Linked DNA regions of Canis lupus familiaris. The protein of the gene in region 2 interacts with the protein of the main gene of each other region in a biochemical or structural test. Links are inferred from orthologs where the notes say so. Each region holds a gene or a part of one and is shown on either strand. Other genes may lie near its edges.

Region 1 (4,545 bases), on a different chromosome or scaffold from region 2:
GGGAGCCTGTTTGTGAATCTCAAAGAATGATACAAGTTTCCTGCCCTGTTGCATTCAAGTATCCTGTACAAGTCTACAGCTTATTCTGATTGAGACTGGAGATGGATGCCTGGTAGAGATCGTTGTCCAAGGAGGCAGCTGATCTGAATGGTTAGGATAGAAGAGCTGTTTCCCACAGGGACCTGATTGGATCCCTATAGTCTGGGGAGGAAAGGGGGAGGGCACACAGTCTGAGTGGCTCTTTTGTGAAAGCAAGTTCTAGGGCAGGTTGAGGTAGGAGACAAAGCTCCTAGGTACCAAGCCAGACCACAACAGTCAATTTGGTGCCCAGGCCTTCAGCAGGAAGAGCACAGGGGCTGAGATGACAGGAAGCCCTCTGACAGGGCTCAGGCAGGGTGCCACTCCAGTCTGTCAGACTTTCCAAGAAAGTAAGGACACATAGCCCAGAAAATCAGTGGGTGTAGAAGCCAGCCCCACCTGTAACCCCTTCATCCTCTGCCTCTCTACCTTTGAGTTTCCAGCCACCCTGCTTCTACACTGCTCTCCCTGTGTCCGCAGGCCACTGGTTGGCTTCCCCAGCACTGCCTCCAGGCTCACTCTCCTCACTCACACCAGAACTCTGTCTGCTGTGGCAGCTCCTTTGTTTACTGCCAGAGCTCGCAGGGCTGCCACCAGCCAAACACAACGAAGCCTGGCCAGGGAGGGCTAGGCTCCAGGTGCAGACTGGCCCCTAGGGACAGGTAATGGCCTCCAAGCCAGGGAGGCAGCTCAAAGGTAGGCTGCCCCCTGCACTGGGTTCTTGTTTCAGATTCTGACAACCCAGGTTTCAGGCCGAGAGGGAAGGGACACAAGATCTGCCCATAGCTGGGCAGGAATCCCTACTGTTGAAACAGCTTTGGCTAGGAGCCCTGGGAATCAGAGACCCAGCTGGAGAGAGGTGGGGAAAATGTTGAGGCCCCCTGGGTGGGAAGCAGAGGCCTAGACTGCCTTCTCCTGGTCCTCCCTCTCTTCATCCTGAGTCCTTAGAACAAAAACTTAGGTGCCCACATTTCTCTACCAGAGGGCTTCGTTCCCCTCCCGAGCATTCATGCCTCATGCCCCCGCTAAGGAGTCTAGTGGATAAAGGGAAGTGGGCATTTACTCTGGGCCAAACCCCAAGCAGGAAACATTGTCAGGATATGTCTGGCATTTGTCTGTCTAAGGTTAGTGGGGAAGTTACTTATCTAATATATAGTTACGTATTTGTATAATATATAATGTAAAGAGGAGGGACTTATACTCTGTTTCTGGAGCCGGGGTGATGGTTAGGAGGTGATGGATGAGCTGGGAGAGGAGTGGTAAAGGTGCCAAACTGAAGGGTAACAGGGCCACAGACAAGATCACACAAGGAACACTGATCAGTGGCAAAAGGAAGATGCCCCAACAGGAGAGGAGCAGATCCCTGCCAGCCCAGGTTCCCCACTAAAAGGTAGAGAGCCCTCTAAATGGTGGCCATTTGACTCTGTGAGTAGGCAGGGAGGTGGGGCACAGATAGGTAGATGAAGTGGGAATGATTTTAGAGGAAATGAAATCCCCAATTTCCCTCCCATGTAGGGATCCATTTTGGAGGCAACAGTTTGACTCAGGAATGTCAAGAAGAAAACCTAAGTCTGTTGCCAGGCCCCAGAAGAGCAGATGTAGCTCCAGACCAACAGGCCTTTGGAAGGAAGGGAATGGGGTTAGAGGTAACGTTGGCCCTGCTCAGCCTGTACTCTCTGTCCCGTTTTCCTGCAGGCAACCCACCTCCCTTCCCTGGGTCCCTCATTCTTTGAGGGGTCACTGGGTCTCCTGGAGTAAACAAGAAATTTGCCACAGTTTTAGTAACAGTTTTGCTTTTTATCTCATCAATGTACATTTTAATCTAACAGTCTAACAGCCTCATACTCCTTACCCCAGCCCAAGCCCTCACCCCCTCTTGCCCACCCCCGCCCAATCAGCATCACATCTGCCCAGGGGCAGGAAATTGCCAGGCACAACGGTGATTCAAGGAGAGGGTGGCACCTGTGGCTCTTCCAAGAGGAGCCCTCCCCGGAGAGTCCAGAAGCCAAGAAAGCCCCAGGTAAGGAGAGGTTGAGGGCTGAGTCTCTTTGGAAAGCAAGGTCTCCTGGGTCTTAGTCCCATTCAAGTCTGTCTTCCTGGATCAGGGCAGCAGAAGGGCAGAAATCCTCAGACAAGGGGACTTGTGGATAGAAAGGAACCTCAAACCCAGTCCCACTCAGAAATTAAGAGCAAGGCTGTTGGAACCCCTCCTTCCACACAGGCTGTGTAGGTGCTTTTGGCTGCTGCTTCCCAACCTCTTTGCTCCTGGGAGTGTAGGGTAGGGCTCTTGTGACCGGCATCCTGGGATGTGCCCCCCAGGAAGATGGAGGGCCAGTGCTGCTACCTGCAGCCACAAGACTCCACAACCATGTCCTCATATTGCTTATAGACCACGTTGTTGGCGGAGTCAATGAAGAGGATGCTGATGGGACTCAGTCGTGTGGGCACACAGCAGGTTGGTGGTGTGGACTCAGGGTCCATGGAGTTCATCAGGGTCTGGATGACTGCGTGGTTTGTGGGCTCCAGGTGGGAGCGCAAGGGGAACTCACATAGCCCCTCACAGTGGAAGGCCTCGTATTCAAGGGGTGCAATGATCCAGTCATCCCAACCCATGTCTTTGAAGTTGACATGCAGTGCCTTCCGACTGCAGCGGGCCTTGGGGTTCTTGCTGGGCCGTTTGCCCTGGCGCGTGGCCAGTGGGGCCCGCCTTTTTCGCCGCTGGCTGAACAGGTACTCATACACAGTCTTATCATCTTGACCTGATCGGGCCTTAATCTCATTAAAGAACAGGTCCCGTTTCTTGGTGCGGCCAAATACCAGGAACAGGGCCTTCTCGTGGACCTGCCTGGCAGCCCGGTCAAAACCCAGGCCACGGAGGTCCACGGCCCGGCCCCGTTCCCAGGCCTCCAGCTCCAGGCACAGCTGGGCCGAGTTCTTAAAGTTTCGGAAGAGCTTCCAGATGTCGAACACCTCCCAGCCAGATCCGTCCAGGCCTGGCACGGAGCGCACATCCAGCAGGGCTGCCGGCTGCCGGCCGCTGGGGCAGCTGGACAGCTTCAGCTGGGCAGCCCGCCCGATGCTGGGGGCCACTGGCTTGGCCGTGTCCGAGGGCTTCTTCCGCAAGATCCGCAGCTCGGCCCCTAGCAGCCCATCCTTCTCCAGGGCACTAATGTCAAACACGTACCTCTGCTTTCTGACCACAGGACCTCGGTCATCTAGAGAAAACACCCAGAAGTCATTCCCTGCAACCTCACCAAGACAGCCAGTCCCCTCAGGGGAGGGCCATAGCTCTCTCCCCTCTGGAGACAGCTTTCTTTAACCTCTCCCCTACTCTGACAGAGGCCAAGACCCAAACCACTGAGAGCCTTTTTCAACATAGGGGAGCCTTCCTAAACAGCAGACCAAGTAGAGTTGTTTATCCGTAGATGTGGTGTGGTGATTTGAACAATTCCAGGTGTTTTGTCAATGACAATGCATGTCAGAGATGCATCAGCCTTAAAACTGCCTCTAGCTATCCCTCCCCATCTGTTATCTTATATGATATCTCCTTGGAGAGATAGGTGGGGTGGGTATTATAATTAGCTCTATTTTTCCGGAGGAGCAACCTGAGGCTCAGAGAAGTTTGGTGACTTGCCCAAGATCACCCAGCTAGGAAAAAAAGCAGAGTTGAAACTCTAGTCTAGAGCTTTTTATACCCAGTCCTGAGCTGCTCCCACTATACCTCAAGGAAGATCTTGGTGTTCTCGTTTTACAAGTGAGGCATGGAGAGGGGAAGTGACTTGTGTAAGTTAACACAGATAGTTCAAGGTAAAGCTATAATTCAATTTCCCTGGCTTCCTCGTCTAATGAGTTTGTTGTGTACAGGGCTTACCCTGCTGGGTGTATAAGTGTGTGTGTGAATGACAGTTTGTGCGTGTGTGTGCATGTGTGTATGTATGATTGGGCTTACATGTGAATATGAAAGGTTAAGTATAGTGAGTGACGTGTGTATGATTGCACTTGTGTGAATATTTGAAGGATATGTACGTATATGTGTGTATATGTAAGATGATTCTGTGTATACATGTAAGAAGGTGTGTGTTCACGTGTGTACATGTGTGTGTGATTCAGCATGTATGCATAAATATAAGGCTGTATGTGTGTGAGAAACTCTGTAGTGTGTCCGAATCAGCATGCCCTCCTTCCTAAATACCAATTTGCCATTGGGAAGCATTCATACATTGCTCTAGAAGGTGACTAATTAGGCCTTTAAACTCCCCATCTCCCCCTCTGCAAGCTCCCTTAGAGCTGGGGGGCACAAGGACTTATTTTATGAGCCCCCAAGGGGTCACAGCTTTCCCTGGCTGGGCAGGCAGCCAGGCCACCTCCCCCAACCCAGCCAGACCTGCTGCCTTCTGCTTCCTCCCACCCTGTCATTCCCCCACAGGCTAGCTCTAATGAGGAGCCTCTCCCCATCTCTGACCCCTC
Region 2 (5,859 bases):
GTCATGGAGAAAATTCACGATGCTTTAAAGACACACACAGAGAAATAATATCCTTTATGCAAACGTCAGGACATCACAAATAAATGAAACAGTGTTACCTATTGTACAGGCTAAGTGGTAACCCACCCAATATACTTTAGAAGTAGCAAACTCAAATTGGAAAAAAGGAAGAGACAAATTAACATATTACACTTAGCACCATATCAACGACTGCAGGGAAGCTCCATTACCACCACCATCAAAACAAAGGAGGAGGATTACTGTAATGAATATCTGGAATCTTGGCAAAGAGCGTAAAGTCTGTTTAGAAATTGGCCATAGCCACATGGTTAGGTCAAAGCTTACCTCATCACTACTCCATCGGTTGGGGAACGAGGGACGTAGCTTTTTGATGCAAACGATCTCTCTCATGTCCTCATAAGAAGGATCACTGGGCACTAGGTCATGATAGGGAAGCTGGTATTCTTCGACTATACCTGAAAATAGGGGTTGTTTTTAAATTATTATTACTATCGATATTTTCTGTGAGGTGGAAATAAAAGTCTAATACACAAACTATTCTCAAAGAAAAGTTCTATCAGTACTCAAGCTCAGGCTAGGAAACTGCAAAATAAAGTCTTGAAAAAAAATATGCCCAAATGTCACTTAATCTAATTAAAAATATAAATAGAAAACCTGATGAAACATATTATTACAGGTTTTCAAACCTTTTTTCTAATTTCCCAAAGCTAAGTAAAACAAGTATCTCAAATTTATTTCCAATTTTATAAAACGTGTTGTATGCCAAATTTTAAAAAAAAATCTACATTAAATCTCAATGCAAATTTGGCAGACACATCCCAAACTCATACTGCATAATATGTGACTGTTTCTATTACTGCAATATGAGATTATGAATCTCATAATAAATTTGGCAGTGTATCCTACTTGAACAAAATGTGAGATTTACATTTTTTCCTGCTTAATCATAAGAATGCATCTTTCCACATTTAAAATTTTAAAATTTTACACACCTAAAAATATTAACTATGATTTTTTTAGGTGCAAGAGCTGTCTGACTTTTACCATTTTCTTCATTAAATTTTCTGTATTTCACCAAACTTTCTACAAATAATACATTATTATTAGAAAAAATAGTTTTTTTTTAAAAAAAAGATTTTATTTATTTAATCATGAGAGACACAGAGAGGCAGAGACACAGGCAGAGGGAGAAGCAGTTTCCATGCAGGGTGCCCGATGTGGGACTCGATCCCGGGACCCCAGGTCACACCCTGAGCCGAAGGCAGACGCTCAACAGCTAAGCCACACAGGCATCCCCCCCACCCCAAAAAAATAGGTATTGTTGAAAGAAAGGTTGAGATACAAGTCTATGTCATCTTAGGAAAATGGCCCTTATCATGACAAACTCCATCTCATTTTCCCTAGTATCTATTCTACCTTATTCCTTTTGTCCTTTGGAAAAGTAGCCTGCTTAGATCTTCTTTGCAACCCTATCTGATTTACTCCTCACAATAATTTTTTTTTTAATTTTTTTATTTATTCATGATAGGCACACAGTGAGAGAGAGAGAGGCAGAGACACAGGCAGAGGGAGAAGCAGGCTCCATGCACCGGGAGCCCGACATGGGACTCGATCCCGGATCTCCAGGATCGCGCCCTGGGCCAAAGGCAGGCGCCAAACCGCTGCGCCACCCAGGGATCCCTACTCCTCACAATAATTATAAGCAGCATCTGTCCTAATAGAATGCCACTCTGAACAATCTCTCTGGAGCACCTTTCTTCCCTATCCAAAATCATCTATTATAGAAATGTTATTGCTTCTTATCTGAACAAGATGATACTACCAAGTTGGCAGATTTTATCCAGCACATCATTAAATTCGCTGGGGTTTACTCTGACAAAATCTGGAGTCTATATTACACCCTTTCTTGCAAACTCAATCCCATATATAAAGGACCAGAAGGCTGAAAAGTTTCTTCAGACCATTCCCACTCACCATTGTTCTGTCTCTCATGAGACCACAGGGCATAATTATATGTATCTATGTTAATAGTTCCTTCCATTGTGTACCGATTCTATAGGAGATACTAAAGGCACAGGGCCTAACCCATGGGGGATGCTCACTTCATTTGAGTTCTTCCTCCCTTTCTAATTCTCAAGACAACAGCTCTGGAGACACCTGGAGAGCAAGGACCATGTCTAATTTATTCCTCTCATATTTTCCTCAGTGCCTACTGTTGGTGCCATTACCTGGCTAAATTGATATATCATGGTGGGGTGGGTGTATACATTACAACAGACACAGAGCCAATCACATAAAGTTCTGAATTAATCAAAATCTATCACTAAACTATAGACCTTACTTCTTTCTCCTTATTATGCATTAAGTTATCAAAATTCCCATAGTGGCTGCCATTTAATTGTTGTCTGAAACCTCAGGAATCCTTTTTTTTTTTTCCCTCGAAGTTTAGAAGATCTACATCCAGATGTAACTACTTCATCCAAAAGTACCTAGACTAGAAAGACAAGCCCAAAACTTCCAACATCTTCATAAAGGAATATGTTGGAGAATAGAATTTTGTGTATTTTGCCTTTCTGGAAAGAGAAACCACACTTGCTTGTTAGGAGCCTGGTACATACCAGGCAAGGCGGTAAGTGTACTGTACAACTTATCTTACTAAATTCTTATAAACATGTTTCTGAGACAGCATTATTATCCATGTTATCCAGATGAGAATAACCTGGTTCTGAGGGATTCACTCACTTGTCCAAGGCCATACAGTTGGTATGGGGCAGAGCTGGGACTCTAACATCTCTGACAAACACATACCAATCTCATAAGGAGATAAGGCAACACCTTAGTACCTCTCAAATCCTGTGTGTGTGTGTGTGTGTGTGTGTGTGTGTGTGTGTGTGTGTGTGTGTCTGAGGTTGGCTTGTTTTTGAGTGAAGAATCATTTCTCCTGTATTCTGACCTGCAGGCTTTCCAAATATAGGTATCTTGTGGCCCTATTTGCTTTAGGTGTTCAGGAAAACATAATCAGAAAAGTAATCTTGCACTCCACTACTCCTTCAACTGCTATACACTTATCATGAGTGTAAGTGAGCATATTATTCAAAACTAGGCTCATTCCCTCTTGACAAAACATGAAACAAGGCACAATTAGTTAATTTATATCTTGGTTAGCTCTTTTCTTCTTCATAGATGATGGAAGATTTATTCGCTATCTGGTTAGGAAACATTTCTCATGTTAACTTTCCTTTTGGAGTTCTCTCACTTTAGAGGAAATGTGTTCTATTTTAAATTAAGCTTAGAATAGGCTCAGAGTTCCCCAAGTGATTAGAAGGCATTGTGTCATTGCAGCATGATCTGAGTATAAATTCCTGTTGATTAACTGTCTCTCCTCCCTATATAAGTATGAATCTAAATATAAGTTAAGCCTCTACCAACCAAAATGAAAATTTTAAGTAAGAGCTAAGATATACTGAATGCTATTTATGTACCAGGAAGTTTTAATTCTCTTTAATCCACCTCCTTCTTAAGAATTAGAACAAAGCTGAGTAACTTGTCAGAGGTTCATGGATAATAAATGGCAGGTCCAAGAATGCAGTCGCTAAGCTTTCAGAACCTTGGGCAAGCTCAATATTTCACAAAAGTGAGTTTAAACTGGCCATGATAAACAGCAGCAGCAGCAGCAGTGTGGGTTCTAGCCAAGCACTGCCATGAGTATAACCATAAACAGGGTACTTGACGCTGAAGGCCTAAGATTCAGCTTCTCACCTAAAAACTGTTGGCATCTATTTAAAGACAGATGATGCAGCAGTAAACAAATACTATGAGCAATAATAATGCCTCTGAATATTTAATATCTTCTGATGTAGTCTTACTAGGAAATCCTTGTTTGCAAGAAAATTATCATGACCAGTGGTAATATTCTTGATGCTTTCATTTCCTTTTGAAAAAAAAAAAAAAAAAAAACACCTGATGTTTCAAACTACTTGTGAAGAAGAAATACAGAAAGTCAAGTGGAGCAGAGGGTAAAGAATGGGTATCTCACCCCACAATTCTGGCTCTATCTTAATCTGCAGAGAGGAAGCCACAGTGAGTGGGGCATCAGAGCTGGGGATAGGGCCCAGCAGGTTGGTGAGAAGCAGCCAGAAGGAAGCAAAGATAATTCTAAGTTGTTAAATACTGTTTCCTGGGAGGACTGTGATTGCATCAACAGAAATAAGGTAGAAAATAAAAGAAAATCTGATGTTGTGGACACTGATTTCTGATCAGGAAGCAAGGATCTGTAGTAGATCCCACAGTATCATGGTTACTTACCTCCGGATACACATCTCCTAGCGACCTCCCAGAGGATGAGTCCAAAACTATACATGTCGGCCATAATGTAAGACTGAAAGTGATTTCTGTTTAAGCTCTCATCCAACACTTCCGGAGGCATATAGCGTTTGGTGCCAACTCGGGTGTTGGGTGGTATGTCAACTTCATTTGTATCACTGAGGAAAAAGCAAAGCACTATAGGCAATGAAAAGGTTCAACACACGACAAATCGAAGTGATTTCCGAGCCAGGGTTTTAGGTAAAGGGAGGAAGGGATATCTTTTCAGGGAATAACATTTCCCTGCAAAATATCTCTTGCCAACAGTTACATTACGTATGCACGGGTAAAAACCCAGGGAAGAGGGCAAAGGGACTCTGCAACATACAAGGCTGCATTGACACTGGATCAATCGTAAACTCTAAATCATTGCTAGGTACCTATTAAATGTCTATGAAACACCTTCTTCCCCTTCACATTTCAATAGCTTGGCTCTTAAAACTGGCATGAGGACATGCCAAGGTGGTTTGTTTAAGATGGTATTTTTTAAATCAAGTGTTGCAGGGTTTTTTTGATGTATGAGCAAGTTCAAACAATGGGGGAAAAGAGGGCCAACAAAGAGAGGAAAATGTTTTATTTCAATAAGTAGGATCTATAACAAAGCTTTCTCTGAGCACCATTTCATCCACCACATAACATGTATTATTTAATAAGAGGACAAAGGGAATAACTGAAAATAATCCCAGCAGCTACATGAAAGTTTCAGAACATGATCCATTTATTATTCCCCATCTCCTGGGAGAATGTCCGTGACGGGAGGGCCTCAATGTGCAGTGTGGCCCCTGGGGAGCCATGCCTCTGCACAGGCAGCTGCAACCAGAGATCTGCCCAGAGATGCTGATGTAGTGGAGCTACTGTCGCTTAATAGGTTGACAATTAAACAAGATGGTGCGTGTAAAATTGCTGCCAGCACAACGTGGAGCCTCTATTGGAGGTTTCACTAGAATTACCACAAGAGAAGCTAGTGGTACTAAAAAGAGCAGTTAAGTCCCAGTTTTGATGAAGAAACTATCAAACAGAAAAGGGACAAAAAGTCATTATTAACCAAAGTTTGTGGGGAACTATGGAAGAACCTCGCTAGCTCCTGATTCCTAAGAATGTTTTTTCTTTGCATCACACTCCCTGGACTCTCAAGCATTTACATGTTATTTCCCCTCCACGAAGAAGGGAAAATATATCAGATAGCACATTTATCAGGCTGTGTCACAGACAATACCAAACTTTCCTAAACACTACTGGCTTTTGAACAGAATCTCTGTGTTTGATCTTATTGCCTCAATTTCTAGTTTCTGAAGCATAAGAGATGTAGTGTCACTTGGGAAAATTTAAAGGATGGCAAGCTGTCTCTCTGCAGATCTTCAAACTGCTAACATTTACTAAAAGATCGAACGCTTCATTCTTAGAACCATTTTAAATTCATTTGCAGCTAAAACCCTCAATCTAGAAACAGACGGGACACCAGTATTCTTATTAGGT

The links.
Region 1: the proteins of BMPR1B (region 2) and GDF5 interact in a biophysical measurement, tested with the Homo sapiens proteins (3 studies listed by BioGRID and IntAct, with this or other methods). The link is inferred for Canis lupus familiaris from reciprocal best matches to the Homo sapiens genes BMPR1B and GDF5.

Annotation. Positions count from the first base shown.
Region 1 is NC_049245.1:24,906,931-24,911,475, forward strand, and holds the end of GDF5 (growth/differentiation factor 5), read right to left. Parts: intron 3,294-4,545; coding exon 2,419-3,293; 3' UTR 1,970-2,418; downstream 1-1,969. UniProt on the Homo sapiens protein: Growth factor involved in bone and cartilage formation. During cartilage development regulates differentiation of chondrogenic tissue through two pathways.
Region 2 is NC_049253.1:21,945,137-21,950,995, forward strand, and holds part of BMPR1B (bone morphogenetic protein receptor type-1B), read right to left. Parts: intron 4,503-5,859; coding exon 4,327-4,502; intron 477-4,326; coding exon 346-476; intron 1-345. UniProt on the Homo sapiens protein: On ligand binding, forms a receptor complex consisting of two type II and two type I transmembrane serine/threonine kinases.